Lonchura striata: one gene and its partners. The protein of the gene in region 1 interacts with the protein of each later gene in a pairwise test. Links are inferred from orthologs where the notes say so. Each region holds a gene or a part of one and is shown on either strand. Other genes may lie near its edges.

Region 1 (7,731 bases):
TGGATAAACCCCAATTATTATAACTGGTCCTGGAAGGCTGAGTGCCTTGGGTTGCTTCAGCAGGACCAGGCTGGCTATTTAGAGTCCTCTTTTGGGTCTCTTATAGGAGGGCCAAAGTTGTACTGGAATGTGGGCTCAAATAAAGGTTTGGAATCAGGACTTAGAATGTCATAGAGCTCCTTGGGCAAGGGATGGAAACTTCAGGAGCTTGGAATTCATAGTGAAGCAATTAAACATAAAGGAGTGAAAATGTTGAGTGGCTAGCGTGAGTGTTTTTCCATCCTGCCTGAGGTAAAGACTGTGTATTAGTAAAAAACAGGTCAAGAAAAGCAAGAGCTAAGTTAACTTCTAATAAACTGCATTAGTCATGATAAACTTGACATGTGTTGAAGGCGGTAGGTGCTTTCTTTAGTGAAGCTGATCTCCTGAATTGCCAGAAAATTTGGTAACTGGTTGTTTTGAGAATGCTCCTCCTCCTCACTCCCTGGTTAGGGTGGCACAGAGCTGGAACTGTGCTCTGCAGACCATCAGCTCACTCTAGTTTGGTGGAGAACAGTCAGCACTGGTGCTGCTCAGTGTTTGTCAGTTCAGGTGAGTCACCAATAATTTACAGTAAGAACTTGCCTCTCAGATATTCTGACTGGCTGGGAAAGAGAGAGCTTGTCCCTGTACAGTGTAACTGTGCTGGTAGATGGAGTTTCTTCTCATCTTGTGAGATCTAAGTGTGAGAGGCAGGGAGCTCACAAAGGGGATGAGTAGCTGAAATGCCAAGTGTATGTCAGAGTTTTACCTTGCTCTTTTTCATTTTAAGTTGCCACTGCTAGAATTACTTCCATCTCTCTATTGACATAGGAATCAAAGGTAACTCTTGAGGTTAAACAGCCTGTGCTGTAATATTGATACCAGACTGCCCATGAAAGATGTAAATCCCTTAATTCTTTTGTTTGAAGAACTAGATGAAGAACATCCAGAGCAAATCAGGTGATCTGTGCCTCTGGACTTAGAACAGCTTGGTGTATTTCTGCTCCTCCTTTAAGTAACTGCACGTTGCACCATGGAGTGCTGGTAGCCTGTAGTCCCAGCAGTGTGAATGCCTGGCAGGGCTGTTGGCACCCCCTGGCCTGGCCCGAGTGTGTGTGTGTGTCTGTGTGTGTGTGTCTGTGTGTTTTCCCAGATGCAGACGTTCATCTGACTCTTAAATGCTTTCTTTGAATTTCAGCTTGCAAACTGGTTTGCAGCTCTGTTCTGGGAGAAGCCCTGCTGGAGTTAGTGGCACTACCTGTTGCAGCAGTGTTGCTGATAAACAGCCTTGTAATCCTCTGAGTCATAACATATGAAATAAGAGTGAGTGTTTTATAAATGCAGGTATCCAGTTTGGTGTGTTGGGTATAAAGTGATGACCTGAGTGCTTTTCTTGCTTCTCACCATGCCATTCCAGTTCTGGCTGTGCTGGGCTGTGGCAGGAGCCCCAGTGACCGTGTCACTGCTGTGTGTCCTGTCCCTGCACGCAGAGCAGTGTCACGACAGCAGGACTGTGGTTTGACACCATCTGTGCACTTCTGCTCCCACCAGAGAGGGACATCCCATTTGGCTGAACTGTGTCAGCAGTTTGTTTGACTGAATTTCACTTTAAATATTTTTTGTGGTTATCAAATGTAGGCTGCCTTGGGATATGACTGTGTGTCATCTGTAATTTGCTGTCTGGACAGGAGTAGCTGTGTTAGCAAGCTTGTCCCTGCATGCAGTCCATTGGTGTGTGACACAAGGACAGAGCTGGCTTGAGGCTGCCTGTGCTGAAGGATGGATGGAGTCTCTGCCCACCCCCACTGATGATCACTGTATCCCATTCAGGAGGATTTAAAGCATCATTGAAAGGGCACATGTTATGAAGGGTGTCCATCCTCAGCCTTGCTGTGATGTGGTTGGTGAGTCCTTAGCTCAGGTTGTCCCCAAACTAAGCTACTTTCACCTCTGAAGTTGTCTAGAAATTCAGAGCTCCCAGGCTGATAAAGAAAGTAGTGAAGAGTTGGGGTCACACTCGGGCATTTTAGGATGACCTCCTGGTATCATCCTTTTGTGTGGCACATCCTGCTCCAGCACTGGTTTTCCAGGGAGGTCTGTGTGTGCCTTGTGGTTCTGGGTCCTTACACAATGGTCACAGGGATTTCTCCATGCCCCTTCTGTGTTGAGGGCTAGGTTTGTTTCAGATGATTGCTCTTGTAAATTTTTTACTCCACAGTTACACAGCAATGCTGTGATCAAAGACTAAAGCATGCCTTTGCACTGGCTTGCAGTGGCTCTCTCTTTCCCTGATGAAGTCTTGATTCATCCGTACTGGACTTACATGCTGACCAAAATAACATCATATTCACTAGTTAAAATAACACTGATGGACATCTCTGCCTTTGAAATATTCTGGATGTGTAATTTGAGTTAATTTTATTAAGACTGCAGATCTCTTCTGTCATGATTACTGGTGAGGTTTCTGTCTGGCTGCATCATTTCACTTTCAAGTGATTATCAGAAACCTGTACAGTCTCATATGGTTTTAATGCATCTACATGTCATCCTCATCTTGTACTTGATCAGGATAACACATTCAAGTGCTAGAATTTAAAAGGTCTGGTTTATTGCTAAAAGTTTACAAACTGTACTTGAGTGACAATTCCAAAAAAAAAAAACCCCAAAACCAAAACCAAACAAAAAAACCACCCTCCAAACAAACAAATAAAAAAGTCCAAACCCAAAAAACAAAACAAAATGAAACAAAAAATCAAACAGCAAAACCCTGAAAGAATTCACTTCTTGCTTTTTGAGGAGTTAAAAAAAATAATTACAGAGGTTGGCAAAAGAGCTGGCGTTCCACGTTTATCTGCTGTAGGGGGATGTGCTTTAATGTACTCTCTTGAGGCATACTCTGTCTCTAATTTGTAAAAATAGGATCCTGGTATGACTTGTTCTGTACCTTAGTATTCCTTAGTCTTGTGTTGTCTGACCTCACTATTTTCATATACTGATTTTGTTTTTTTCACTCTTTAATCCACCTGAGATGCAGCTGGGGCTGTGCTTGTGCTGCTGGGTCCCAAAGACCTGACCTGCTGGACACTGTTTTGCCCAGGCTGTGGATTTGGGCAGGGCAGCAGGGCACAGAGAGGTGGGATGTGCTGTCTTCTTCTGTGGTGAATGAAGCCAACCTCATTTCCTAGGAATGAGAAGGGCAAGTTATCTTTTTTTGTTTGGGAATTAATTGTGAACATTCAGTTGTCTTGGAATGTGGGGCTCTGGCTTGGCTAAATCTTTTTGCTGCCTTTAGCTGGGGTGGCTGTATGTTGAAGTTTGTTAGTAACGAGGATGGGACCAGAAGTCTTGGGAACTGTGTGGTCTTTTAAGATGTAAAAATAAACAAAGCTGAGAAGCTCTACCCTACTTAAAACAAGCTGACCTAAATTTTCAGCAATTCTAGCAGAGAGGCAGGCTCTGGGTAGGGATAAAGGCTTACTGACAACTGGCTTCCCTGTCCTTCCATCGCTTGACAAGGTTGACAGGCCACCTTTGGCAAATCAGCACTGGAGTCTGAGGTCATTCACTTCCCCCTTCTTAAGCTGCCAGCCTGGCTGTGGATTTGCCTTGTGCTCCTGTGGACAGTCCCCTTGTTATGCAAGTCAACAGTTCAGCATCTTCTGGGAAGTCACAGCATGAATCTCTTCTCAAATTGCTTTTGTTGGAGTGTGTTGACAGCATGTTAGATGTCCTTTGGCTTGTCCCTACAGAGATTGCTTTTGAGAGTAGGCGTCTGGAAAGTCCTTTCATACTCTTTGTCTGTAGATTAATGTTCTTGCTATCAGTTGCAGTTCTCCACTACTGAATTATTAATTCTGCAGTGAGGGATTTTTCTTTTTAGTGTTCATTGACTTTCATGCTCAATTTATTTTTCTGAGCAGTTTGAAACTGGAGCATGGGAATGTTGACTAATATTAACGGATCACTTGTGTGACCTCAGAGGTGGCTAAATAAACTTTCTTAATTGGGAAAATGGCATCTGTCTTTCAAAGTACTCACAGTTTCCCAGGTGAAAGGTTGCTTGTGAACGTGTATTGCCCTCAGAAGCACATTGCTTGTTTTTCAAGAAAACTGGGATGTTCAGGCAACCAGTGGAGTGGTTACGTGTGCTCCAGAGACAGTCCTGTAGGTAATGTGATGGGAGAAGGAGGGAAAAGAGGGTTTGCAGATTCTCCTGCTAGTGTGACTTTGTAGCTGAATGTTTTCCTGGCAGAGAGCCTGTCTTTGATTGGAAAGCATTCCCCTTGGTGTTCTTGTAGGTACTGATGGTTTGCTGTTTTGTTCTGTGTTTGTGTGTGCTTTTTCCTGCAGGAAGATAAGAGGAGAGGAATTGTGTATCCTTTCAGCAGCCTTCTGTTAAACTTGGAATATCACAGCTCAAGCACGTGAACAGATGGATAATGGAGACTGGGGATATATGGTGAGTGCAAGTGTGCACTGTGCACTACAACTGGGCTTCCAAGGTCTTGCAGCAAGAATCCTTCCACATCTGCCTTGTGTAGATTGAGCTTCAGTTGTGAGAGAAGGAAAACTATGCCTGTTAAAATAGCTTTACAACAGCTTACACACCTTCCCTGGAGTGCTGCACCTCCTGTGCCATTTGTGGGGAGTGCCCAGGTTCACATTTGCTAGGGACAATCAGCCAGGACTGAACTGATGCCTTGAGCTCCCTGTTACCGTTTTCCTAACAAAAATGCTGAAAATAGTTCATGCTTTTTGCTTATTATTTTAAGGATTTTTGTCATTTTATTTATCAAGAAAAGTATTTTTTCTTGTAAATCTTGTGTTAAACTAGACAAGCACATCTTATTTTTCTCCCCTTCTCATTCTGCTGCCATGCATATGTCTCTTTTCTCTGGCTGGCTGCAGTCCTGGTTTTTAGAGTTGGTGGCCAGATGGGATTTATGTTCCTTTCTCTCTTGCTTCCTCATGTGCTATCTGGAATCTGATGCAGACTGGTTTGTGCTCTGCTCCCCACTTCTATGCAGCATGCTAATTTGTTAATAAATATTTCTTTTTAGAATTAAAAGCTGAAAGTTCTTTTTCTCCCTTGCCTGTTTTAACGAAGCCTCTGAGCCGAAGTGTGGATTATTTTGATTGTGAGCTCTTGGTCCCCTATGTTTAAACCTGCACTGTCTTCCTCTTTTGAGGGATAAAAAGAGGCTTAATGTTTGTTTGGCTTTTTTTTTTTCCCTGTTTTTTTGGTTTTGATTTTGTTCTAGAATGAGAGCCAGATTGTGAAAGTAAGGAACATTGCTGGTCCTCATTCTGACTAACTTGTTCTTCAGGAAATTTCTCTTTTCTCATTTCCCCATCTGTAGAATAGGAAAAAACTTGCTGCCCGAATGCTAAACTTGATCCTGCAACAGTAGCTCAGTTGTTAAGATTTCTAAAGCATTCTGGAAATGTGCATTCTGCATGCTAAGTACCATCCTGTCTAGTTGCCAGTTGTGCCTTGTTGCTAGGTGGCTTGGATTTGTTCAGGTTTGAACAAATAGAGGCGTTGAACAGAAGTGTGATTTCCCCCCAGTTTTCCAGCAGTATTTGCCAGGTGTGTCAGCAAGGTGATCGAATCTTCTTGTTGGGGCTTGATAAACTCTGCAATTTCTCTCTTTCTAGATGACTGATCCAGTCACGCTAAATGTGGGTGGACACATGTATACGACCTCCCTCACAACTCTAACGAGATATCCTGACTCAATGCTCGGGGCCATGTTCAGGGGAGACTTCCCCACTGCCAGGGACTCTCAGGGCAATTACTTTATTGACAGAGATGGACCACTTTTCCGTTATGTTCTTAACTTTTTAAGGACCTCAGAGCTCACTTTGCCACTGGACTTCAAGGAGTTTGACCTGCTCCGGAAGGAAGCAGACTTCTATCAGATTGAACCCTTAATTCAGTGTCTTAATGACCCCAAGCCGCTGTATCCTGTGGATACCTTTGAGGAGGTGGTGGAGCTGTCCAGCACCCGGAAGCTTTCCAAGTACTCCAACCCGGTGGCTGTGATCATCACGCAGCTCACCATCACGACGAAAGTCCATGCACTACTGGAAGGCATTTCAAACCACTTCACCAAGTGGAATAAGCACATGATGGACACCAGGGACTGCCAGGTGTCCTTCACCTTTGGGCCATGTGATTACCACCAGGAAGTGTCGCTCCGAGTCCATCTCATGGAGTACATCACAAAGCAAGGCTTCACGATCAGGAACACCAGAGTCCATCACATGAGCGAGCGTGCCAACGAAAACACAGTGGAACACAACTGGACTTTCTGTAGACTGGCACGGAAAACAGATGACTGATTCTGACTCCACAGGAGCCACTTCAGTGATTAGCAACTTAATTGGGCAGTGTACCCAAGAGAGTCTGGATTTTGACTAAAGCAACAATATGGGCTTTTTTTATACGACTATTTATTGTTTATCAGTGAGGACTGGAGGAGTTCCATTCTCTAGCAGCTCTGTTCTTTTGTCCAGTTCAGAAAAAAAACCGTGCATGTGCCTGTTCAGTCAAGACACCTTTTTGTTTGAAAGAGGGAGTCCGAAGAATCAGTACAATAGGGTATTTTGTGTCATTAACACAATTCTCTGACTCAACTCAAAGTGCTAAAATTACCTCTTGTTTAAATTGTTTCTAATTCATCTAATGCTATGACACTGGGAGCAAGAAACAAAAAGATTTTAAAATGCAGTTGGGGAGAAGCTGCTATTGTGTAGACTAATTTAGTTTCTAAATCAATAAACAGTATTGTAATATTCTAGGAAAACAAATCCCACCCTTTAAATGTACTTGATAAGTACAGTTTCTTACAGTTATGACAACTGTTTCTTTCTATGCATATAAATCAAGCAACCAAATATTATCTGTAGCCATGGAAATATGATTACAAATATTTATATTGGATTCTAAATGCAAAATGTCCCTGTGGTAGAATTCATATTTTTAATGCCTGGTGCAATATTATTCCCAAGTGTAATGCCTGCCAGAAGAAGCTAATAAAAATGTGAAATACAGAATACTGTTTTGTATTTTCTCTTTGTCTTTTAGAATTTTCATACTTAAAAAAGCCAACCAAACAAAAAGCCTCCCACCCAAATTCTGGTTTTTGTGCTGTGGAGTAGTTTGGGTGTTCTGGTAGGGCCCTGGTTTCTTCAATTAATGATGTAATTTGTTCCTTTTTATGTTAATCAGTTGATTAAAATGTCATTATAGACAAAACTTGTGTTCTGAAAACTGCTTTAGTTTGATAGAAAGATGGCAAATATTTGTACTGGTTAAAGGGGTAGGGATGGAGGAAACACAGGGCCTAAATACTTGTAGCTGCTAATAGAGTTGCCTGGTTTGTCAGCACTTTATGTGGTATTTTATATATATAAATTCCAACTGCAGAATGCTTTTAATAGTGATGTTGAAGTCAAGGCACTCAAATTCTGTGGCTTTACTTAATTTCATACAGACATTTCTACTTATCCTGGTCCTTTTGTCATAGTTATTAGTAGAATTTCTGGTTATGATCTAACTTGATTGCAGCTGGGAGTAAGGGCGTTGGTATCTGTTTCATGGAGTAGATCCTGTTCTCCCATGAAGTTCTTGTCCCAAGTAAGTGGGAGCTTTCCATCCCATATCTGGCTCTAAAGGCTGTCTTGGGGGGTATTTCTCTGTCGTAT
Region 2 (7,872 bases), on another chromosome or scaffold:
ACCCCATCATCTTTGCCATCACCCCAACGTCTTTGCTGTCACCCCATCATCTTTGTGTCACCCATCATTTTTGAGTCACCCATCATCTTTGCCATCACCCCAACGTCTTTGCTGTCACCCCATTGTCTTTGTGTCACCCCATCATCTTTGCCATCACCCCATCATCTCTGCCATCCCCCCAGTTCTTTGCCGTGCCCCCAGCGTCCCCCCGGCGCGGGGCTCACCTTGAAGAGGCGGAAGGCGGCCACCCAGCAGCTGCGGCTCTGCTCGTCCTCGCTGCAGAGCAGCTTCAGGCCCTTGGCGCCGCTCCGCACCTTGTGGGGCTGCGGGAGAGGCCGGAGCCGTCACGGGCTGCTGGAACTCCAAATGTCCCTCAGACATTTTTGGATGTTCCAGGCCTTGGTCAGAAGCATTCTAGACCCCAGCAGGCAGCTGCAAACAGCTGTGGTTTTGAGTTTGAACCATGGAATGAATTACCAACTTTGGAGGTGGAACAGTCACAAAGGGTTAGATAGGATAGTAAAAGTAGTTACAAAACAGAGGGGAATTTTTTTTAGTATTGTACAGGGGTTTTAGCACATGTACAGGGGGGTTTTCACTTTGTACATGGGGGTCAGAAGTTCTAAGATGGAGTAAAGTGGGCTGATCCTGTTCTTCCTCCTTCTTCTTCCTCACCTCCATGTTCTGGGTGAGCTGGCACTTATGGATTGGTTTAGAGTAGAAAAGCACTTTGTAATATAGGTAGTAGGTATTGGGGAAAAACTATAAACATGTAATATGTAATATATCATATAAAAGATAGCAGCAGCCCTGGGTGGGGAGAGAAGACACCAGAGAGGATGTCAGGGTGTGTGTGTGCCTCTGCCTGAGCTGCTGAGCAAACTGCAGCAGCAAGAGAAGAAAATCTTTTAGATAATTTACAATAAACTGCCTTGAGACCGAACAATGAGAAGCTGCTGAGCCTTTCTTTGGAAGCACGGGTGGGAGGAGAGACTTTTCCACCACACGAGACCCCAGAGCAAGCCCGGGGTTCTCACAATGAGGCAGCCCCAGGTGGCTCAGAGGTGACAGAGAGCCCTGGGCAAGGACCACAAGCGGGGACCATCCCCACCTTGATGCAGAAGCCGAACTCGGTGGGCGTCCCGTAGAGCTTCTTGCCCTGCGTCATGTAGTAGATGTTGGACTCGGTGAGGTCAGCGAAGTACTGGAGGTGCCGGGGGTCCTGGGGGGCGGCGGGGGGGTGTCAGGGCTGGCCCCGCTGCACCCCCTGGCCGTGCTCCCTTTCCCCAGACCCCCCTGCCCTCACCTTGGAGGTGCCCTTGGTGGAGTAGTAGAGCCCCGAGCGGCGCAGGGAGAAGTGGAAACGCTTCCAGACCTTGCGCCCGGCCTCCCGCAGGTGCAGGAAGCCCTGGACCTCAGGGCAGCTGCCAGAGTTGAGGAAATTCTGGGGGGGAAACACGAGGGCTGAGGGGCACGGCGGGGTCCCCGGGGCACGGCGGGGTCCCCGGGGCACGGCCGGGCGTGCTGCCCCATACCTGGATGAGCTCGGAGTGCGCCATGCTCTTGTTGGCCTCCAGGCAGCTGGACACCATCACCTCAGGGAACAGCAACTGCTGGGGGACCGAGGGTCAGCAGGGACCCTTGGGGTGCTCAGGGGGGTGACGGAGGGCGCCCACCTACCGCGTTGCTCTTGAAGAGCTCGTACTTGGCAAAGTTCTTGCGGAACACGAAGCGGCTGTCGGCGCCCGGGGCCCAGGAGCTCTGCACCTCCACCACCGACTCGTGGTCCTCCAGGCAGCGCTCTGGGCGGGGGGACACGGGGGGTCAGCAGGGTTTGGGGGTCCCGCGGGCCGTGCCCACGCCGTGCCCCCACGGGCGCTCACCCAGGGCCAGGTGCTGGTGCAGCTCCACCAGGGCCCAGCTGTGGTCGTGCAGCGCGCGCGTCCTGCGCACCAGCGTCTCGCAGAGCTGCCGCGCCGTGGTCGCCGCCGAGGCCTCCAGCGAGCGGCACACGCCGTCCTCGCCGAACACCTTCACCACCTGGGGATGGGGGACGGGGGGTGTCAGGGCTGCCCCCAGCACAAGGGGACCCTGCTGAAGCACAGAATGCCCACCCCACCTCCCGCTCCCCAGCTGGTGTGGGAGGCGGCTCCTGTCCCCTCCCTCCCCAGAGTTTTGACTCATTTCAGAGGTGGTTCCTTCCCCAGCGTTGAGGTCCCTCTTTCCAACCCCTCGGCCCCCTGGCTTAGGATGGTGGGATCTCTGCAGAGGGCTCCCTGTCCAAAGGCTGGGACCCCATCCCAAACCCTCCGTGGGAGGAGGTTCCAGCCCCAGAGCTGAGACCCTCCACTCTCCCCAACCCCCTGACTCCCACTGGCACCTTCGTGGGGAGGTCCCTGTCCCAAAAACCCCCTCCCCAGCCTGTGCAGGATGTCCCTGTCCCAAACCTCATCCCCCCGTCCCTTCCCAGCCCCTGACCCACATGGGGGGTGCCCTAGTGGGGGGGGTACCTGCCCCCAAAACCCCTCCTCAGCCTGTGCAGGGTGTCCGTGTCCCAAACCTCATCCCCCCGTCCCTTCCCAGCCCCTGACTCCCGCTGGTGCCCTCGCGGGGGGTCTCTGCCCCAAAAACCCCCTCCCCAGCCTGTGCAGGGTGTCCGTGTCCCAAACCTCATCCCCCCGTCCCTTCCCAGCCCCTGACTCACATGGGGGGTGCCCTCGCGGGGGGGTCCCTGTCCCAGGGCCGGGCTGCTCAGGATGGGTGAGTTGGAGGGGCTGCAGAGCTCGGGGAAGGGGTTGGGGATGCTGGGCAGCGACGACGCTCGTGGCTCCTCCGGTGGCGGCTGCCGGCTGCAGGCACGGGGGGGCTGGGTGAGCTCTACGCCCCCTGTGACCCCCCCCGAGCACCCCCTTCCCCTCCCCAAATCCCCCCGCGGCTCACACCCACCTGCTGCCGTGGATGAAGAGGGGCTGGGAGCGCCTGACCTCGGGCGGCCCCTCGCCCCCATCCCGCTCACCAGGACCCCCATCCTGCTCGGGGGGCTCCCAGAGGCTGCTCTGCTGAGCCCCCCCGTCCATGGCATTATCTGTGGGGGGGAGAGAGAGAGGGGGTCTGGCTCCGTGGGTTGGTCCTCGTTCCCTCGGGAGGGTTCATGGCTACATTTGCAGGGGGGTGAGGACACCACCCCGGGCTCCATGTGGGCTCCCACCCCTGGCACCCACCCAGGGGTGTTTTCCCGGTGCCCAGACAAGCCCTGGGGCTCTGGCTGAGCTGCCGAGGGTGTCCCCATCCCCCCAGTCCTGTCCGGGTGCTGTGGGCTGAGACCCCCCCAAGAATCCCCCACATCCCAAGTGGGACCCACAGCAGGCTCTGGGAGCAGCGGGCGATGCCGGGCTGAGCTTTGCCAGGCCGAGCTTTGCCAGGCCGAGCCGTGCCGGCGCCGAGGAGAGAAGGAAGCCGAGCGCGGCGGCGGCGGCGGCTCAGCCCAAACACCTCCTCGGGTCCGGCCAAACCAGTTCTGGCGGCCGCTCCCAGCTCCACCTCACCGCCCTGGCATCCGGGCCCGGGCGGCCGCGCCGGCAGCCGGGGGCGAGGGAGCCGCCGTGGGAACCCCCCGAGCTGGCACAGCCCCCCCGGCTCCCCACCCACGCCCCGCTGCCGGCGCCCACGCGGTGCCACCGGGGCACCGGGCACCGGCTCCGGTACCGGCTCCGGGGGCAGCGGGGATGTGCCACGGCCCCCCCAGCACATGGCACGCGTAACACACACGTGGCACCCACGGTGGCACCCGGCGGTCCCGGGACACCGGGCAGAGCCGCGTTAATCATTCGCCCGTCGCTGCGCCCACCTCCCGCCGCCTCTCGGGTCCAAGTCCACGGCTGGGCAGGGCTGATGGCATCCCCGTCCTGTCCCTGTCCCCGTCCCGTCCGTGTCCCTGCAGTGTCCCTGTACCCATCCCTGCCGTGTCCCTATCCCTGTCCCCATCCCGTCCCTGTCCCTGCAGTGTCCCTGTCCCATTCCTGTCCCCATCCCTGTCCCATTCCTGTCCCTGTCCCCATTCCTGCCCCTGCAGTGTCCCCATCCTTGTCCCTGCCCTGTCCATGTCCCCATCCCGCCCCTGTCCCTGTCCCAGCCATGTCCCCATCCCCATTCCTGTCCCCGTCCCTGCCCTGTCCCCATCCCTGTCCCTGTCTCCATTCCTGTCCCTGTCCCCATCCCTGTCCCCATCCCTGTCCCATCCCTGTCCCTGTCCCCATCCCTGCCCTGTCCCCATCCCTGTCCCTGTCTCCATTCCTGTCCCTGTCCCTGCAGTGTCCCTATCCCATCCCTGTCCCTGTCCCCATCCCTGTCCCTGTCCCTGCAGTGTCCCTATCCCATCCCTGTCCCTGTCCCATCCCTGTCCCTGTCCCTGTCCCTGTCCCCGTCCCTGTTCCTGTCCCATTCCTGTCCCTGTCCCCATCCCTGCATCCCACCAGGACCCTCTGCTCCCCTCCGCTCCCTGCCCCGGCTGTGCCAGCCCTGTCCCCCGTCCCTGGGCAGACCCCGGGGCCATGTGGGGACACGGGGACAGCCAGGGGTCCGGCAGGGTGACGCTGCTGGTGGGGCACAGCAGGATACAGGGCGTGGGGAAGGTGACAGACGGGGCCCTGGGGCTGGGACACGGCCCTGCCACCAACCCTCGTGGCCTCAGGTCACCCCGGGGTGAGCCCGGTCCTGGTGGCCGTGGCAGGGTGGGGACACCCAGGGTGGGGACAGCCAGGGTGGGGACACCCAGGGGACAAACAGGGTTATGGGGTGGGGGCTTGGAGGGGGTCAGGACCACCGGGATGGGCCCCAGGGCCACCAGGGCTATGGAGCAGGGGGTGCAGGGCCACCAGATCGAGGGTGCCAGGGCAGGGGGACGGGATGGCAGAGCCACCAGGGTGAGGGAGGGGATGGCAGGGCCACCAGGGTGAGGGAGGGGATGGCAGGGCCACCAGGGTGAGGGGGTGGCATTCCAGGGCCACCAGGGTGAGGGGGTGGCATTCCAGGGCCACCGGGACAGGGGACAGCGTGCCGGGACCACCGGGCTAAGGAGCAGGAGCCCAGCTGTGGGTGGGGGTCCCGGGGGTGCCCGGGGTGGGGGGTCAGGGCTCCCCAGGGCCGCAGAGGCAGCAGAGGAGGCAGGGCGGGGTGGCTGAGGAGGAGGAAGAGCCGGGAGGAAGGCGGGAAGGGGCGCAGGGAAGGGAAGGAGAGCTCCGGGGTGGTTCCCGGCAGGATGGGCACGACACCCCGGGATGAGCAGAGACCCCCCCCCCGGCTCCAGGAGCCCCCAGGCCGGCCCCGCTCCTACCTGCAGCTCCCGGCGCGTCCCGCAGCCTCCCGCCGGAGCGGGGATTCCTGTTCTCCCCGGCTTTATCTACCTGCGCCTGCCCCCGCCCCCGCCTGACATCACGGCGCCCCGGGCCTGCTGCCCGGTACCGGCCCCCCACCGACACCCAGCGGGGCCCCCCAGCCCCCCACCGGCCCGCTGCGGAGTGTCCAGCCCGGCCCCGGGGGGCTGCACCCCCCAAACGCACCCCCCCGAGCTGGTGATGGGGAGTTTCCCACAATGCACCGGGGTGACCCCTGGGGCAGCGGGGGGGTCTCGGTCCCCTGGGATGTTCTGGGGGGTGAGGGTCCCACAGACCCCCCCGGTCATGCTCCGAGAGCCCCCAAACCCCTGGGACCCCCAAAGCGGGGCTGGAAGGGTCCCACGGCGGGCGGGGGGTGTCCCCGTTGTCCCCTGAGGGACCCCTGCAGTGGGACCGTGGGGTGGGGGGTCGTGGGGGTCTCTGCGGGTCAGGGACCCTTCCAGGAGGGTGGGGGGCGATATTTGGGATATGGGAACGCAGTGGGATGTGGGGTCACTTAGAGGCTCTGTGGGGTCCCTTGTGGGTGTCCCCTTGCGGGGTGACCCCACCCGGGGTCTGGGAGTCCCCACTGGGGTCTAGGGGTGCCGTGGGGGTCACAGAGCACCTAAAGGTGTCCCCACGGAGGGGTTCGGGGGGGGATGTGGGGGTTCCTATTGGTCTGTGGGGACAAGGCCCCACAGAACCCCCGCGGGGGTTTTCATTGTGGGTCCCACGGAGCAGCGGGGGAATTGAGAGCTCCCGTGGGGGTCATTTCAGGTCCCACGGGTCCCGGAGGTCACCGTGGGTCCCGTCTTGGGTGACACAGGGGTCACTGAGGTCATTGAGTGTCACACGGTGGGGGGGTTGCGTGTCCCCCGTGGGTCTGGGGGGTCACTGCAGGTGACACGGGGTGAGTTTGGGTCACTTTAGGTCAGTAGAGGTGACCTGGGGTCACTGTGTGTCTCACGGGGGTCACTTAGGTCATTGAGTGTCACACGGTGGGGGGGTTTGCGTGTCCCCCGTGGGTCTGGGGGGTCACTGCCGGTGAGTTTGGTCACTTTAGGTCAGTAGCGGTGGTCTGGGCTCGCTGTGTCCCGGGGGTCCCGCGGGTCCCGGGGGTCCCGGGGGTCATTGAGTGTCACACGGTGGGGGGGTTGCGTGTCCCCCGTGGGTCAGGGGGGTCACTGCAGGTGACACGGGGTGAGTTTGGGTCACTTTAGGTCAGTAGAGGTGACCTGGGGTCACTGTGTGTCTCACGGGGGTCACTTAGGTCATTGTGTGTCACACGGTGGGGGGTTTGCGTGTCCCCCGTGGGTCTGGGGGGTTACTGCCGGTGAGTTTGGTCACGTTCGGTCAGTGGCGGTGTCCCGGTGTCCCGGTGTCCCGGTGTCCCGGGGTCCCGGGGTGCCGGTGTCCCGGTGTGCCGGGGTGCCGGTGTCCCGGTGTGCCGGGGTGCCGGTGTCCCGGTGTCCCGGGGTCCCGGGGTGCCGGTGTCCCGGTGTGCCGGGGTGCCGGTGTCCCGGTGTCCCGGGGTCCCGGTGTGCCGGGTTCCCGGGGTGCCGGTGTCCCGGTGTGCCGGGGTCCCGGGGTGCCGGTGTCCCGGTGTGCCGGGGTCCCGGGGTGCCGGTGTCCCGGGGTGCCGGGGTCCCGGGGTGCCGGGGTCCCGGGGTGCCGGTGTCCCGGGGTGCCGGTGTCCCGGGGTGCCGGGGTCCCGGGGTGCCGGGGCGCCGGGGTCCCGGGGTGCCGGTGTCCCGGGGTCCCGGGGTGCCGGGGTCCCGGTGTCCCGGTGACCCGGGGTCCCGGGGTGCCGGGGTCCCGGGGTCCCGGGGTGCCGGTGTCCCGGGGTCCCGGGGTGCCGGGGTGCCGGGGTGCCGGGGACCCGGGGTCCCGGGGTGCCGGGGTCCCGGGGTGCCGGTGTCCCGGGGTCCCGGGGTGCCGGGGTGCCGGGGTGCCGGGGACCCGGGGTCCCGGGGTGCCGGGGTCCCGGGGTGCCGGTGTCCCGGTGTCCCGGGGTCCCGGGGTGCCGGGGTCCCGGTGTCCCGGGGTCCCGGGGTGCCGGGGTCCCGGGGTGCCGGTGTCCCGGGGTCCCGGGGTGCCGGGGTGCCGGGGTGCCGGGGACCCGGGGTCCCGGGGTGCCGGGGTCCCGGGGTCCCGGGGTGCCGGTGTCCCGGTGTCCCGGGGTGCCGGGTCCCGGGGTCAGCGCGCTCCTCCCGCCGCGCTCGGAGCAGACGAGGCGGGCGGGGCAGAGCGGCCGGAAGTGCCGCGTCACGTGACCGAACCCGGAAGTGGCGGCGCGGCGGCACCGGGGCCATGAGCGGCGGGGCCGGGACCGGGACCGGGACCGGGGACGGGGACAACGGGGCCGAGCGGCGCGTCCGCATCGTGGTGGAGTACTGGTGAGCGCCGCGGCCGCCGGGGGGCCCGGGGACGGATGGACCGAGGGGTTCCCCGGGGCTTTCGGGGGGTCGGAGCCAGCCCGGGGTGGGGCCCACAGCGGTAC
Region 3 (7,794 bases), on another chromosome or scaffold:
CACTGTAATTTTCATAAGTATTTCATTACTGTGACACTGTCATTCATTTAGCAGTAACAATGCAAAAATTCCCTCCATGCTTTTCAAGGCTGCATCCCATGCCATGCCATGGGTATTATTTTGACTGCAGGAAAATTGATTCTGCCAAGGTAATTCAGTGTTCCAGGTTTCAGGAACTCAAAACAGGTGCTGTTAAAGAGTAGGTCCACACCAGAGCAAGAGAATATTCTTGGAGATTACCATACCAGGTTGTTTCTATTTAAGGGAATCCTGAAAATTTAATTTAAAGAAGTGAGACTCAAATCCAAAAGTGGAAAATGTTGTTTATGGAAAGCACGCAGGTCTGGTACTTTTCCTTTGTATTTTTCTCAGCTTCTAATATACTTTAAAAACCTGCAAATCCCAAACCCGAACAATAACAATTCAGGCTCTCCCATTGTCACAAGCTCCTTTTCCTTTGGATAGCTTCCTGCAGTGTTTTTCTTTGAACTAACTGCTGGGTGTTACATAATCCCCTACTTGAAATTGAGGACTTTTGTGCTGGAGTTACCTGCTCTGCTCTCCCTTGCTTCAGTGTCAGATCCAGCTGTGTAGCAGCTACTGTCACATATTGTTGTGTGACAAGTTGCTAATGCAGCTTCAACAGTCCCACACGTAAATTAAGGCCAGAGCCAGAATGGCATCTTTTGACTGGAATTTTAGAATAGTTGTTTGAGGAAGCAGATGCTTATTGATCCCAGAATTTTCTCTCTGTATCTCATTCTGGTGAAGTGCTGATCTGTGGGTGATCACATTCTCCCCTCATTGCTACCTGTCTGAATCTGCAGCTTCTCTCATTCCCTTTACATTTTTTGAATTTTAAGGTGATCAGAGTCAGAAGGATAACCCTGGCAGCCAGGGAGAGCTTTTCCCAATCAAACCTGTTATGCTGCCACACTTCATAGAATCCCACACATAAGCTGCCCTACTGCATGGCCTCCCCTATCCTCCCTGGAGCTTTTCTGTCCTTGTCAGCTTAAATGTTGAAATACTCCTTAAAGTCCTTCTAATTCCCGGTGCCAGCGGCCTGCCTCTGCTGAGAAGGGGTAGTCAGTCCTTCCTTTTGCAAGTCTTGTCTTTCTGCTACTAAAAACCTCCTAGTTCTTTGCATATCTGGATCCCTTCTCTCAATGCCGTGGTCTTGTAAATGCAGATCTCTGAATACTAAACTTCTGCAAACCAGGAAAAAGCCCTCCAAACAAATGCAATTTGGCACATGCCACTTCTGCTGGTGGAGAGAGTGATTAGCTTAAAGGGGAGTCTGTGTGGGAAGTGAATTTGCTGCCAGGCTCTCAAGTCAGCACACATTTCTCAGAAAAGCACTGCAGGTACCAGCAGAGGATGATGTCAGACAGGAGAAAGCAAATTCCTGCCCACCATTGGCTTCTAAAGTGCTAATGGCTAATGTGATGGCCCAGGAGGGGGGAAGTGGATAATGGAGACAGGTAGGGAAGGTTGGAGTACAGCAGCAAAAACTCACCAGTCTTAAAAAGCGTTTGTGCCTGCTGTGAAATGAAATTTTCAGGATTGCAGGGCATGGCTCCTGTCTGTAACTTTCACTGCCTGCTATCACCTGTGCAGTTCCAACATTTCCAACAGCACTAAGAAACTTGCTTCCTGTGGTCCAGTACAGAAATGTGCAGGAACAGGAGGAGCACCCAGGGATCAGAGTGTGCTGTACCTTTCCTAGCTGTAGTCACATCTTAGCTAACACCTACCTGATGGCAAGGGTGTGAGAATTATGGATCTCTTTTAAAACAGGTATTGCCCTGGTATGCCACCAAAGACCACCGACATGTCTCAAGTTGTAGTTTAATGGATCTGAAGTCTACAGGATATTCTTTCTTCCCTGTGGGACTGAGGGACAGGACCACAACCACACAATCTGTCTCCCTTGGTGTACCAGAACTGCACCTTGCTGTGAGGGCACTGCAGGGCCAGGAGCAAAGGGCAGTAAAGGCAGAGATCTGTCCTGAAGAAGTTGTTGTGCTGTTGCTATTCAAAGGCAGAGGTGACTTTGGGTTTTCTCCAGGACTTCTCAAAAGAGGGGAGTTAAGGTTCCTAAACACATATCTGTAACTGCTGATGGTTGGACTCAGTGATTGTAAAGATCTTTCCAACATCAGCAATTCTATGATTCTTTAGGTCTGTATTTTGTATTTTTCATGATAAGGATTGAAAGTTTATTGTGAGCACAGCCTGGAAGTTTTCTTAGACTAGTCTTGGGCACAGGAGGTCCAAAGGATGTCTTACACCATACAGTTCTGGGAGTCTTACGTGTCTGGTTCATCTAAACTCATCAAGTCACTCCAAGTTTCTCATGGTAATTACCTGAGCATGTGAAAATGTTCTCATTCCACTTCCAAACAAGTTGCAACAGAAGAGTGACCAGTGCCAGTTACAGTGTAGCTTTTCTACAGAAGAACATCATGTTTCGTCTCCTTTTCATGCTCTTACTTGTCTCCGTGAGCTTCTTTTTAACGAACTTTCTCTTTTGTAAATCAAGCACAATTGCAGTGTGATTATTTTTGGCTTGTGAATACAGACTGAATAGACACTGTGGTCACTATTACTGAACAACTACAGCTGCTTAGAAAGGGTTTATGTGCTATTCAGAACTAAAGGAACTAAACCCCACAACTAATGTAAAGCCAAAAGCACGTAAGTCCTTTTCAAGACACATGAAAAACTAAAATTTCAGAGGCTCCTACAGATTGGTGTTTGACTTCATTTTTCACTGGCTCCTGTTTGAGATTGCATGGGGCCCTTCTTTACCAAGATCAGTAATTAGAGGTCAATTCCTTAATTGTTTTTAAAGGCCAAATGAACTGTTTTCTGATAGCCCTGGCTGAGTTTAATCCTGGTGCCAGCTCTGCTTGCTGAACCATGCCTGATACCCACAGAGCCCTTTGCCCTCTTGGATAGCACAAGGATTCGCCAGGCAAGTACTGAGCAATGTGGGGCAGACAATCAGACCAGGAAATCTGAGGACTGACTTGTACCAAACAGCACTGAAGGCACTCCAGGCTGAGCTAGCGCTGCTGTGCTATGCCTTGCTGAAGCAGTCTTGATGTTTAAAGACTGGAAAATGATGAGAAATAAGCAAGGTTTTTAAACACCTTCCACGAAGATGGCAGAAAGTATGGTTTGCTGAGCCTGGCACCTCTCCTGTGAAACTCCCCAGCTAGAAATTATAAGAAAGAGCAGAAGTTATGGCAAAGTTCAGCATGTTGTTTGCAAAGCGAGATCCAGGCTACCTCTGAAGGAGCCGCCGGTACTCTGCGAGTACTGAGCGGTGTAGAAGTCCCGGCTGAGGCTCACTGGGGCGAGCCTCACTCGGGCTCGGAGAGAAGGAACGAGGTGAAAGGGAAGGAGATCGGAGAATCCTCCACCCGCTCCTAAGGTGTCCTCAGGCCCACGCTCCCCGCGCAGTGCCGGCGGTACCTGAGCGCGTTGACCGGCGGGTTGCAGAGCCGGATGACGGCCACGGCCGAGCCCCTCGCGTAGTGCGCCATGCCGAGCCTCCCTCTGTGTCCCCGTGTCCCCGGGCCAGCCCCGCCGCGCCCCGCCCGCAGCCCGCCCCCACCGCCCGGTCACCGCGGGGCTGGCCCCGGCCCGGGCCGGCGGAGAGCTGCCTCTGCTGGGGTGGCAAAATGCACAGTATGGACACTGTTCTTAAGGAAGGTTGTTCATTAATGTTTGATCTTTATAACTTTCAAGCCTAATCAACAAGAAAGGAGGTTTCAGCTCACAAGCTCTAAGTGTTGTCCGGGCGTTGGGAAGAGAAAACCTTTTTGGTAGAATTGCCTTGTTAAGGTCTGGGGCTCCACGTGTTTCAATGATCCCAGTCCTACGGGAGGTTGACAATGCTTGGGAAGAAGGATGTGTGTGATGTGCCACTGAGAGTGGGCACACAGAATGCAGAACTTAGAGGCCACAAGGCCATTTGGCAGAACCCCCAAAATAAGGAAGAAACTAATAAAGCCAACCCAGCAACTGTGCTGAAATCAGCCCTGACTGGGTAAAAGGTAATTCTGGCAGGAGCAGGTCATGACCAGCGACTCACAGACCACTGACCCAAGAAACCACTGACCCAAAAGAAGATAAAGACTGGCCTAATTAGCATGAGAAATGAGAGAATCATTAATCAGTAGAAGACAGACCACTAAATAAGAGAATGATGTAACTTGCAGCCAATGAACACCAATACCTTCATTTGCTAAAATGTATAAATAGTGAAAAGTTTTGATAGTTATGCTGGCTTTGTGGATTTGCTACCCAGCCTTCTTTCTGTGCACAAATGTAAATAAATCAAACACCTTGACTTAGTGTTGGATTGGCATCTTGTATACTGGGTGAAAGAACCTTTTCTGGGACAACACTGGAATTTAATGTGTGCTCCAAGTCAAGCTCTGTCCCTCTGGTCCTCTCGGGCATCACTTCAAACCAGCCCCTCAGCTCAGTGCTGTAGTGCCACTGTAAAAAGAGCTGAGAGGTAGGGAGGGGAAACAGTTTCTAATGTTACAACAGGTATTTGTTGCTTTAAAATGTTATTTAAAGGACAGAAAATATTCTCATCTATACATTGTTATATTCTTATTTATATATCTATAATCTCCCCTTTATGTCTCTTGGCCTTTAAAAGTCAGTCCCTGGGCAGAATGGCTACAGTTTTTCCCTGGTCTGGAACAGGTGTACACATTTTTAGAAATTGATTTACATGTACAGAAAGGTCCTTCACTAAAAGCAAGCTTTATTGCTGCTTTTATATAACCTTTATTGTTACACCTATTGTGGTGGGTCACTACAGCTCTTCTGGCATTTATTATATAATGTTACAAACCCCCCTAAACTAGTGATAATACTCTGCCATTTGCTTGTAAACAGCATGTTCTGGGAGTTTATAAAAATTGTGTAAATGATGCCTTGGAGGGCTAGCTGGTCTGTCGAATTTTTATTAACCAGAATGAAACCAAAGATCAGTCTAAGTTGTACTCTGTGTTTATAATTTACAGGTCTGATCTATTTGTCCTTTAATAATACAACTGCTGTAGTTGTGATAAAACAGCCCTATTTCAAGCTCGAATAAACACAGAAGAAAGCAGTGCTTGGGAAAAGAGAGCTCATAGGAAAAAAAAAAAGAAGAAAGTTCTACATTGTTATGGAAAAGTTCAGGTAATATTTAAGGTTGTGCTTGTCTTTTTTTCCCTTTTTCCTTCAAGATGAATGGAGTTTGGTAGTGAGAAGAAGAATAAATGAATTTCAGTATATACAGCAGAGAGATTTTAAGTCTTGGAAGTTGTGTAATGACCAAGTGCAAAGGCCTGAGCTTAAATCCAGATCCCAAACCAATGGGGAAAGAGAAGTGCATGGTACAGGCCCCAATTATGCTTCTGGCTGTGTTTTCCTCTTCCAGCATTGCTTTTTTTCACTGCAATCAGACCAAGGCTCTGCAGCTCTGCTACATCTGAGCTGATCTTGCACATGGGAGGGGTGCAGGTTGAAGAGCCTGTCAGTGCACTTCACCATGGCAAAATGTTACCAGGGTGGTCCAGTTTGTTCCTCCAGCTTTTGTGTGGCTCCCCAAGAGCTTGTGCAAGCCTCTGTCAGCCCTGCTGTTCTAAAGCTGTGCGGGGGCTGCCAGGCAGTTTGTGCTTCCCTGGAAAGCAGCTGTGGGCTATGGAGCCACAGGACAAGGTGGCAGCTTTCTCTAGCCCTAGGCCTGCCAGAGGAAAAGACATCTCACTATTCCAGATCCCTCTGATTACTGGTCTTTTGACCACACACTAGAGAATAATGCTCAGAAAATACACCTAGCACCCAGCTCTGGAAAAAGGCTTCTGAGACAGGAATAGTGGGGATGAAGGTATTTTTTACCAAAAAACAGATTTTAATGGATGGAAATGTTGTGCTTTGTCTTCTGAACCCCTCAGAAAGTGCCATAGTAGGAAAAAAAGATTCCTACTTCTTTCTGAGCTGGAGCAACACAAATATATCAAGTCTCCTGCAAGCCCCCGGGATCATCATCCTGTTCAGGAAGTGCTGAATGATAAAAACAAATGCTTTATTTATAGGAGCCTCAGCTTCATTTTTATTCCAGTATATCAGTGATACAAGGTACTCCATAAGAAGCACCTTGATTTGCTCTAACCTTATTCACACAGAACAAAAATTCCTGGAAAATGCTTTTTTGACAGCTGCACCCAGAGAGACTGGAAAAGGTGAGTGCAGTAATGTCCCATCTGTAGGAGTAGAGTATTTCTATGGGAATGACCTCTGGGGAGCATGGAAGGTCTTATCAGCTGTATTGTGCAATCTGAGTGGAGATTTGTGGTAAAGCCCATGGCCACAGTGCTGAGAGGGGCAGGAACTCTGAAAACTGAAAAACTTACTGGTTCTTGTCATCAGCTGGTCTAAACTTCAGGCCTGAATTATACCTTGCTGTTGAAATGACAGACAGGAGGGCCAGCTAAATCCAACAGCTGTTTTCGGCTTTCCCTCTTACAGCTATGGCCCTTTTTCCCCCCCACTTATTATCTGCTGTAAAAAGAGCTGCAATTTTTGTAATTTTTGTCTGACCCCTTCATGTGTGGTAAAAGCCAATACTGGTAAACATTTGATCACAAAATAATTTCAGAGTCTCCTTTGGTTGTCACACCCTTAGGAGGTGTCCTCTGATAATTTTAAGTTTATTTTCCAAACAGTCTCCAAAACCCAGCCTCACAGAGCCTCAGTGAGCTGGAGTTCAGTGCCTCAGGGCTGGCACAGAGAGCCCTTACAAAGGTGGAGCAGGTGTGATAACTAGAACAACACAGCAAGGCACACTGTGGGCCATGCAATAGCATCCTATTGCAGAATTTAAATTTCTGCTGAAGAGCCACAGCTTCTGTCAGCCATGAAGGTTGTTTTAGATTGACGTGATAAAGACATATTTAAAAACCTTTTTGTCCTAACTGGGTATCCTTTGAGGATTTTTTTTTTTTTTTCCTGTAGTAAAAAAGGTTTTCAAATGTCTTGGAATCTTTGCTTTTTGTTTTGTCTTATAAAGTAAGGCAGGGCATAATTAAATGCATTGTTAACTTTGCCCCTGTTACTACATTTAATAACTTAAAAACTAGTGTGGAGATGGAGAACAGTTGCATACCCAACTCTGCATTCCCCTTAGAAGCAAACAGCTCATTTTTGTTTCAAATGTGTGTGTGCAGGTGTGGAGAGCAGCAACACAGCCCTGTGAGCACGACAGCTGTTAGCATGGAATCACAGACAGGTTTGGGTTAAAGGGACCTTAGAGGTCATCTCAATCCATGCCCTGCCATGGCCAGGGACACCTTCCACTCGACCAGGTTGCTTCAAGCCCTGTCCGACCTGGCCTTGGAAGACTTTTGTTTTATTGAGACTTTACTCTGCTCCTTGGCTTCTTGAAACCCAGGATTACTGCTCTGAAACTCCCCACTGCATCAAGCCTGGTCTGTGTTTCTGTATATTTTAGCATCCAACCCTGCAAACACAAAGCTATGGACAACTTTGCACACATCAAGCTGGTCTGACAGATATGTTAGCAGTGTTCAAACTCACAGCATTTCCCACCTAGTGGGTTGTCTGTTCAGTATTTATCTCACCCTATGCCATGCTGGGCATTGTAGATCTAAATTGTCTTAAACAAAAATTGTAATTTCAAAAGTAAAACCTCGATTTTTCCCTTCCAGAACAAAGTATGTTGGTTTTTTTTAATATTACAAACCTACCTCATGAATT
Region 4 (7,831 bases), on another chromosome or scaffold:
GGCAGCAGGGACCAGTTGTTCCACCTCAGTCCAAGGTCCATACTTAGATCTATGGCAGATGTCCCACTGCCAATCTCCAGCCAGCAGCTGCTCCGGGCTGGGAAGAGCAGACGAAAGCAAAGGTGACGGGCACCCTGGTTAAGGGTTGGCCCATCCTGGTACCACGCCTGGCAGTTTGTGCTCCTTAGTCACTGGATTGCCCCCACACCCAGCAGAGCCAACTCATCTCACCCCTCCTTACAGAGGCCATCACAAGGAAGCAGTATTTCTCACAGGGAAAAGTTGCTTCCTCCACAGGCAAAGGGAAACGGGAAGATCACACTGCGCCCACTGCCATACCCAAGCCCCCCAACAGGCTGAAGGCACACAAGAACACAACAAAGCCCATTAATCCAGAGGTCAGGCCCCACATGCAGCAGTCACTGGACAGGGCAGAGGGACAGGCACTCCTGTGCCAAACCAACACCAGCAGCCTTCCTGGAGGGAAGGAAGGCGGATTAGCAACAAGCACAAGACAGGCGGGAGCTGGACAGACTCATCAGCCTGCTGCTGGGGGTTTCCAGGACAAGAACTTGCTCTAAGAAGCCATTTCCTCCCCCAAAAAGCCTCCTTGGATTATATAAAGCAAAGAGAAGGTTGTGGCCACCTCAGAGAAATCGAGGACTTTGGTCGAGAGCCCGTCAATCCAACCCCTTTCTGACAGCCTAGCACTGAGGCACATTCCTGAACTCTGTGCCAGAGGACAACCTCCTCCGCTGGCCAAGCCCTGTGTCACACACAGAGGAGTGCCTGAATTGCCCAGGTTCGGGTTTTGTCATCAAATCCAGGCAACACCTGTTGTCTCCTATTGACCCAAACCAGCTCCAGGTTCCGCTTCTCCCCGTCAGCAAAGCAGGGACAGGACACAGCCACAGTGCTGCAGAGACACAAATGTTCAGAGCCAGGAGAGCTCTGTACTTCCCTGGAGACAGCATCACCACAGTCTTGGGAAAGGGCTCTGTCCTTGCCAGCAGTAAATGAGAGACAGTTTTGAGGGGTTGTTGGGAAGAGAAACCAAGAGCTTTACCCAGCACTTTCCCCCTAAGGCCATAGACACTGGTAAGTTATTTTGAGAAGCCAACAGCCTTCCAGGCATGATCCAAGCCACACTATTATTTTCTGGGTGTCCTAAAGCCACCTCCACTGCAGATACAATGGGCCAAGGTCTTATCTCCATGCCAGAGGCCGGAGGAGGGAAGAAATGAGAGGCAATCCAGGGACAGACACCGGCTCTGCGGTCTGGGCTGGACCATTCATCTGACTCCCAGCCCATCTTTAGGGAAGGGATGGCCTCAAGGGCTCCTCAACCACAACGATCAGGCCCTGACCTCTGCGTCGGAAGGGAGGAGGCTCAGCCCTCTGTGGCAGTCCAGGCAAGCCTGCATGCTCCACTGAGCGAGCGCTTTCATCCTCCCACTGCTTCCAGGAAGGTTCCGCACGAGATTCCAGCAATGCTGCACACGGCAAAGGACAGTCAACGGCACACTCAAGAGTCCAGCCAAACTCAACCAAGTGGAAGAACAAATCCTTAAAAACTGCCTTTATGCTGTTGACAGAGCATGAGCAAACACCAGCAGGTGAAGAACCTGCCTCAAGAAAGCCCTGGGAGCAGGATGGAGCAGACAAGGTAACTCTGGGGAAGACAACTAACAATTTTCCTGCCTAGGCTCTTGCCACTGACCTGCTGGACATGGCCCCGGCTCCATTGGCAGGAGCTCCAGCAGAGGCAGGAGCCTGGGAGTCACCAGCCAGCTGTTGACCCTACCTTGCCACATCCAGGAGAGAGGGCATGGAAGCTGAAACTCCAAACAGAAGCTGCGAGCATGGCTTACAGGATCCCAGCACACCTGCAAAGCTGAGGACAAGCTCAATTCTCCACACCAAAGACCTGGACAGTCAAGTCCAAAAGCATCTGTGCAGTGCAGGGAGGGCATCAGTGAAACTACAGGTAGCTGCAGTTCAATACAATCACATGACTCCATGTGCCCAGATGTTCTTCTCTGGCTCACCGGGAGCTGGGAAGAAGCCTGGGAGAGGAGCCTCCAGCTCCAGCTGGTCACAGGACAGCCCAGGCCCCCAAAATAACACCCTGTGAGCCCCATCATCACTGGCTCCCTGGAAGGGCAAGGGCACCAAGCCCTTGGGGAGAGAGGGAGGCACTTCAGGAGGTCCACTGCTCTCTCCAACAATCAGAGGAAGCTTTGTTGTCCAGGCTCCCTCGCCCAAAGCCCAGGGCCATAACGGAGGTGCCCCACCTCCCTTCTGCCAGCGCGCGGGTGCCTCGCAGATGCCAGCAGCCCTCATGACTGAGAGGCACGCAAACTTTCTCACCCCAAGCAAAGTCTCTTCTCTGCAACGCTCCGAAGAGGCATAGGAACGCCCACCGTGCAGGGGAAAGCGATGCCGGGGGACGGTCACCGGAGAAGGCAGGACGAGCGCTGGACAGGGGGAGGCAGCCGGGCTGTCGCTAAATGACAGTGTGGCCAAGGCAGACTCAGAACGAACCGGCGGCTGAGCAGACCCCCGAGGTCGGCTCCGGCACCGTCCTGCCTCTCGGAAAGCACTTCGGAGTCGCTTGTGAGCTCGGGTGGACGGGCCTGTCGGGCTGTTTTGAAGCTCAGAGCGATTCCATTAGGAGGAGCCGCAGCCCCACCCGCACACTTGACCCCCCCGGGCACACCGGCCCCTTCCCCGGCAGAACAAAGGCGCAGGCGAACGACACACCGGGCGAGGAGCCCCTGCGGAGAGCGGCAGAGCCGAACTGGGCGGCGGGACGCGGAGTCGGAAAGCCGGACCGTGCCTCGGCCGAGACCCCGCGGAGGGACCCAGCCCCGCTCCCCGCCCGAGGGCGGGGGGGCCCGCCGGTGCCGGCCGCGGGAAGCTGGCACACGGGCCGCCTTTGTTCCGGGCAGGGCGAGCGGCGGCGGCCCCGGGCGGGGAGCGGGGCGGCCGCCCGGCCCAGCCGCCTTTGTGTCGCTCCCCGCGGGCTCCCGGGCGCCGCCAGCGCCCCCGCCAGGGCCGGGCCCCGCCGCCCCACCGGTCCCGCGGGGCGCGGCCGCGCTTGGCACGGGTTCCCGGGCAGGACGGGACTCTAGGGACCCGGTACCTACCGGCCCCGGCAGGAGAGCGCGGCCAAGCCCCGATCCGGCCCCGCCGGGCGAGGACCGGCCCGTCCCGCCCCGCCGCCGCCGCGGGGGCGTGCGGCGCCCGGCAGGCGCCGGCCCGCACCGGCTCTGCTCCCTCCCCTCTGCCCCCTGAGCGGCGGCACGGACGCCGCGATCGGGACTCACCGTGGCCGGGCTCCTCGGCGGACGGGCGAGGGCAGGCGGTCCCGCCCCGCGGCGGCGGCGGCACGGCCGCCCGGCCCGCTCCGCTCCGCGGGTCCCGCCGCGGCGGCGAGGCGAGAGGCGAGGCGGGCGCCCGGTGCGGCGGCGGCGCGGGTCAGGCCGGGTCCCGCCGGGCGGCGCGGGGCGGTGTGTGCGGAGCGCGGCGTCGGTCGGGTCCCGCCGTGCGCCCGCGCCGCTCCCGCACCTAAAATGGAAGTTGGTCCGGCGGGCGGGGCGGGGCGGGCGCGGGGCCGCCCCCGGCGTCAGCAGCCGCGACAAGGACGGGCGGGACCGGGGCGGGGCCGGGGCGGATGTCCCGGTGGGGTCTGGCCGGAGGACGGTGTGTTCTCCGCGTGCTCCATCCTGGTGGGATGTGCCCCAGCGGTGCATGTTCTCCAAACCGGGGTCTGCCCTCAGATGGGCTCCACCTCGGGACCATGGCGCCCGGGAGCAGACCAGCTCCTCCTCAAGGTCCGGGTCTGCCCCGGCGTGGTGCACCAAGGGGCTCTCTGGGACACCCCCGGAGTAGAGCCTCCTCCGGCCGGTCCCTCTGGAGCGGCGGGAAACCAGCTTACCCTGTACAGGGCAGAACTTGCCCAGAAGGGAGATTCCCTGGCAGGATGGGCTGCACTACGTCCCCGGGAGGTTAACCCGTTCCCTCCCTCTGGCCCTAGGGAGCAGGTGCTGGTGGGACTCCAGCCACAGCTCATCCTCTGTGGTGGAGGGTTTCCCCTTCCCGGAGAGGCAAGGAAGTAACGCCAGGCCAGCCCCACGGCGTGTTCCGGGCTGCTCACCTGGGAGAAGTCCAAGTCCCCCGAAGGTGTCTGACCGGGGAGAACCCTGCCTGCTCCTGTCTGCCTAACTCTCAGTGAGATAATGATAGAGGAAAAGAGCTGGGGACGGTTTTGGGTGGGACAGGTGATTCCTGGGGTAAATATGCACTGGGAGGCAGGGAAGATGTGATAACAGCCTGCGGATGGAGGTGTGAAGGAGGTGATCCAGAGCTCTGTACGGATTGCTAAAGGTGGTGCAGAAAGGTGTAATGAGGTGAAATGGGATTTGATGCATAAAAAGGGAACATCTAGGGAGATGATCGGGGCATGGGGACCCCCAAACCCTCCCTGATGTTTGGTTTGTAAAATAGACCATCCAACCAGCTGGGAGCAGATGGAGAGCTGGTCCACATGTCCCAGGGAGGAGAGGGTCTCTCCATTCCACAGCAAGTGAGTGAGACCTTCTCTCTGCATCCCTTCATCCTTGTTGTCACCCAAAATGAGCAAACTGGATCCCCTCTCAGCCTTGTACCTTGAGTGAGAACAGCTCCCAGATTAGAAATAATCCCCATCTGCCCTCCCTTCCTCTTGGCCCACCACAAGGAGGAAGGTGAGTGTATTCCCTGAGTCTCAGAGACAAGGAAGGAGAAGAGGTGCTCTCAAAATTCCTTCTGGGAGAAAGAGTCCTCGTTCACCTGACACCTCCCAAGGGGCAGCTCTCCCTCAGGGAAAAGGCATCAGAAACACCTTGCTCCTCCATCCCAGCACCAATGACATGTCCTTTGAGGCCTCTGCCCGGGCAGTTGGGGCAGCAGGGGCTCGGAGGTTCATGCATGGTCCTGGCCCAGTCACACCCTCCCTATGCCCTCTTCAAAGGCTAAAGGTGCTCTTACAAACACGACTCTGACGCTGGGCAAGTGCCTCCTGTCCCCAGGATGGAGCTGCACAGGGCTTATCCAGGCTGGCCCTGCCCCAGCCCTGCCCTGACAGCTGGAACACCCGGTAGCACATGCTTACTTTGGAAGGCAGGCTGGACCCTGATCCTTCAGCTTCAGCTGGAGGATCATGCTCTTGTTTGACTATAACTCCTGGGGCAGAGGAGCCTGTCTCACTGCGTTCTGGGAAGAAGAGAGATGTGTTCCTAGCATGGGAAAGTTTCCCCTCTTTTACAGTAATTGCTTGTAATAACATCTTGCACATCCCCTTTCATCCTACAGCTGATGCCTTTCCCAGATGAGACGCCCAGAAGTGCAGCTGCCACCGGAACAGAGCAAGACAATTTGTTTACAAGGCAGGCCCGTGCTCTCGGCGGCCGAGGGCAGGAGGAAGGGGAGGCTGCTGGCTCCAGGTCCACGCAGGCAGCTCAGGGGATGGCCTGCATTGTTCCAGGTCAGGATAACAAGGCCCTTCCGCAGCCCCTTTCCTATGGGAATCCTGACGGGTTGTTGGCCCTCCTTGCACGAGGGGAAGTGCGGCACCAGGAGGGGGGAGAAGGAGGGAAGCGGGCCTGAAGGAGCTTTCCAGCTCCAATTGGAAGATGCCAGGCCACAGAGCAAGCCTAGAGCCCACCCTGCCACCTTCCCAGTGCAGCTCCATGTGCTTGGTGTTGTCCCTGCTTCCCACCAGCCTCCCACTGTGCTTGGGCTCTCTCATGCCCACAGACCATCCTGCTTTCAGCCTAGCTGCATCCTGTCATGCCCTCAGACTGTCAAATTCCTGGTACATCTTTTGCCCAAATGTACACGTGACTTAAGCATGCACAGAAATCTCCTTCCCCCCCAGCCCCACAAGGATCTATTGCCACTTACAGTCTCTTTCTTCTCTCCTTTCTCAGTGCCTTTCCCAGCCTCAGATCTTGCCTTCATCCATCCCTTTTGCCACTGTGCAGGGTCCAAGGTCCCTCTGGAGAGCAGGGACTCTGAGGCAGGTCCTGCCCTGCAACACAGGCAAAGGCGACATAGCTGAAAATGATCCCGGCTATGAGAATTGAGAAGGGAATTTCCTTTCTCTTCCAGAAACTGGCTCAGAAACTGCTGATTTGAGGGCTTGGGAGACACTGTAAAGACAAGATTTGTCCTGTGAGGAGGCCTCCTATCAATAGCAGAGGGAGCCTGAACAGGCAGCACAGTTTAGGCCTTGCCCTCACTTTGCAGTCAATCCCACCAGGAGATAAACCCTGCTGGACATTCCCAACCCTCTGAGTCACCCAGGGTTTCGACCAGCCAAGGGCCAAGGACACCAGCTGTGCTGCAGGTCTGCAGCCTCTGATCACCTGAAGATAGACAGAAAGATTCAGGGTCTGACACGATTTACAGTGAAAACTGCAATCCCATACTTTCCCCCAGGAAAATCTGGTAGAAGAAATGGAGTTTAGAGAGAGGGGTGAATGGGACAAAAGGCTGCTGGTGATTTTTCTACTCTGTGTTATTTGGCTTTGGATACTAGTAAAAATGACACTCATAAAAGGCCTCTTTTGTGTACCTGCAAAGGGAGTGGTTGCTCGGTTGCCAGTTGAGTATCAGTGAATTTTAAGGGCAGACGAGGCCACTGGTGGTGGGGGGGGAGCAGCGCTGCAGCTGTCGGGGTACAGTGGAGTGGGGGCTTTCCCTAACAGGGTTACTGCTGAAACATTAACCCCCCTGCTTGCTGGAATGTGGCTGCCCCCTGTCCCACTGTGGTCCCACTCACTGTCACAGGGCACTCCATGGCATCTGGATCCATGCACTCCCAGTGAGGTCAGGCTTTCCAGGCGACAGCTCCGATCATTGTAATTCCACAGGATTGCAAGGGGTGGGGGAGGAAACATCTCTATTTTCCTTCTATTTTTATGAGCATATGATAGCACTTTGATATGAAATTACTTGTTTTCTGCATCCCTTGGTATTCCGGGCTGGGCTCCAAGCCACCCGGGGGCAGTGACAGACTGCCAGTGACCTCAAAGGCCTCTGGCTCAGGCCTGGCACCAGCCACTTTCTTCATTGGTTTGTGTCCATTTTGCAAAAACGGAGAAGAAAAACCACCCTCACATGTCCAACCAGATGAAAATCCCTCTGCAAGACCACATTTGAAGACTTTGTAGATTTAAACTCTACGGCGACATTCAGGCTCCTGTCCTTCTGCAGCTCCTGAAACTTCCACCCACTTGGGTTGTTTGTAGGAACAGCCACTGTCTCCAGGCAATGGGGATGGATTATAATCTTTGCTCATGTGTGTGGAGTGACTGACGCAGATTTTTGTACAATGGGTGCTTTATAACGTGGCAAAAAACTTTCAAACTAAGTGGGCAGCATCGCTTGCTTGAAGGATGCCTTCCAAAGCACCATCAATCCTCCCCTTCAGGAGCCTGGGGCACAAAAACACCCTTCCTCACACGCGAGGGCCCAGTGGAGTCTGAAAATCCAAACCAAGGTGGAGCCCTTGAACCCAGAGCTGCTCCAGACAGCAGATGCTCCAGACAGCACCTTCCCCATTATCAACCCCGTGTTCTTCAGTGCCACCGCTGCAGTGACCATAAGCGGCCCTGGCCTGGCTGTCGTGTCCGGGCCCGATGGTGATGAGGGAGGGACGAGCACCACCACAGGCGGCGGCGGCACCCAGGCTGCCCTCAGCGCGGCCGCCATCGCACCACAAAACACGAGCGGTGCCTCCGGCCCTGGGCAGAGCAGGGCACGGCGGCTGGGGAGGGCTGCGGAA

Evidence for each region.
Region 2: the proteins of KCTD6 (region 1) and GRB7 interact in binary tests that used the Homo sapiens proteins (3 or more experiments, as listed by UniProt). The two-hybrid records come from large-scale screens. The link is inferred for Lonchura striata from reciprocal best matches to the Homo sapiens genes KCTD6 and GRB7.
Region 3: the proteins of KCTD6 (region 1) and EHHADH interact in binary tests that used the Homo sapiens proteins (3 or more experiments, as listed by UniProt). The two-hybrid records come from large-scale screens. The link is inferred for Lonchura striata from reciprocal best matches to the Homo sapiens genes KCTD6 and EHHADH.
Region 4: the proteins of KCTD6 (region 1) and CTNND1 interact in binary tests that used the Homo sapiens proteins (3 or more experiments, as listed by UniProt). The two-hybrid records come from large-scale screens. The link is inferred for Lonchura striata from reciprocal best matches to the Homo sapiens genes KCTD6 and CTNND1.

Annotation. Positions count from the first base shown.
Region 1 is NC_134614.1:15,790,568-15,798,298, forward strand, and holds KCTD6 (BTB/POZ domain-containing protein KCTD6), read left to right. Parts: upstream 1-4,379; 5' UTR 4,380-4,453; coding exon 4,454-4,480; intron 4,481-5,679; coding exon 5,680-6,366; 3' UTR 6,367-7,080; downstream 7,081-7,731. UniProt on the Homo sapiens protein: Probable substrate-specific adapter of a BCR (BTB-CUL3-RBX1) E3 ubiquitin-protein ligase complex mediating the ubiquitination and subsequent proteasomal degradation of target proteins.
Region 2 is NC_134627.1:7,270,883-7,278,754, reverse strand, and holds the start of GRB7 (growth factor receptor-bound protein 7), read right to left. Parts: upstream 3,094-7,872; 5' UTR 3,078-3,093; coding exon 2,947-3,077; intron 2,850-2,946; coding exon 2,705-2,849; intron 2,041-2,704; coding exon 1,884-2,040; intron 1,803-1,883; coding exon 1,681-1,802; intron 1,614-1,680; coding exon 1,536-1,613; intron 1,445-1,535; coding exon 1,307-1,444; intron 1,223-1,306; coding exon 1,112-1,222; intron 324-1,111; coding exon 225-323; intron 1-224. Other genes in the region: MIEN1 (migration and invasion enhancer 1), read left to right, coding at 7,683-7,768. UniProt on the Homo sapiens protein: Adapter protein that interacts with the cytoplasmic domain of numerous receptor kinases and modulates down-stream signaling. Promotes activation of down-stream protein kinases, including STAT3, AKT1, MAPK1 and/or MAPK3. Promotes activation of HRAS.
Region 3 is NC_134612.1:6,533,313-6,541,106, reverse strand, and holds the start of EHHADH (peroxisomal bifunctional enzyme), read right to left. Parts: upstream 3,581-7,794; 5' UTR 3,555-3,580; coding exon 3,484-3,554; intron 1-3,483. UniProt on the Homo sapiens protein: Peroxisomal trifunctional enzyme possessing 2-enoyl-CoA hydratase, 3-hydroxyacyl-CoA dehydrogenase, and delta 3, delta 2-enoyl-CoA isomerase activities. Catalyzes two of the four reactions of the long chain fatty acids peroxisomal beta-oxidation pathway.
Region 4 is NC_134608.1:53,102,371-53,110,201, forward strand, and holds the start of CTNND1 (catenin delta-1), read right to left. Parts: upstream 3,396-7,831; 5' UTR 3,330-3,395; intron 1-3,329. UniProt on the Homo sapiens protein: Key regulator of cell-cell adhesion that associates with and regulates the cell adhesion properties of both C-, E- and N-cadherins, being critical for their surface stability.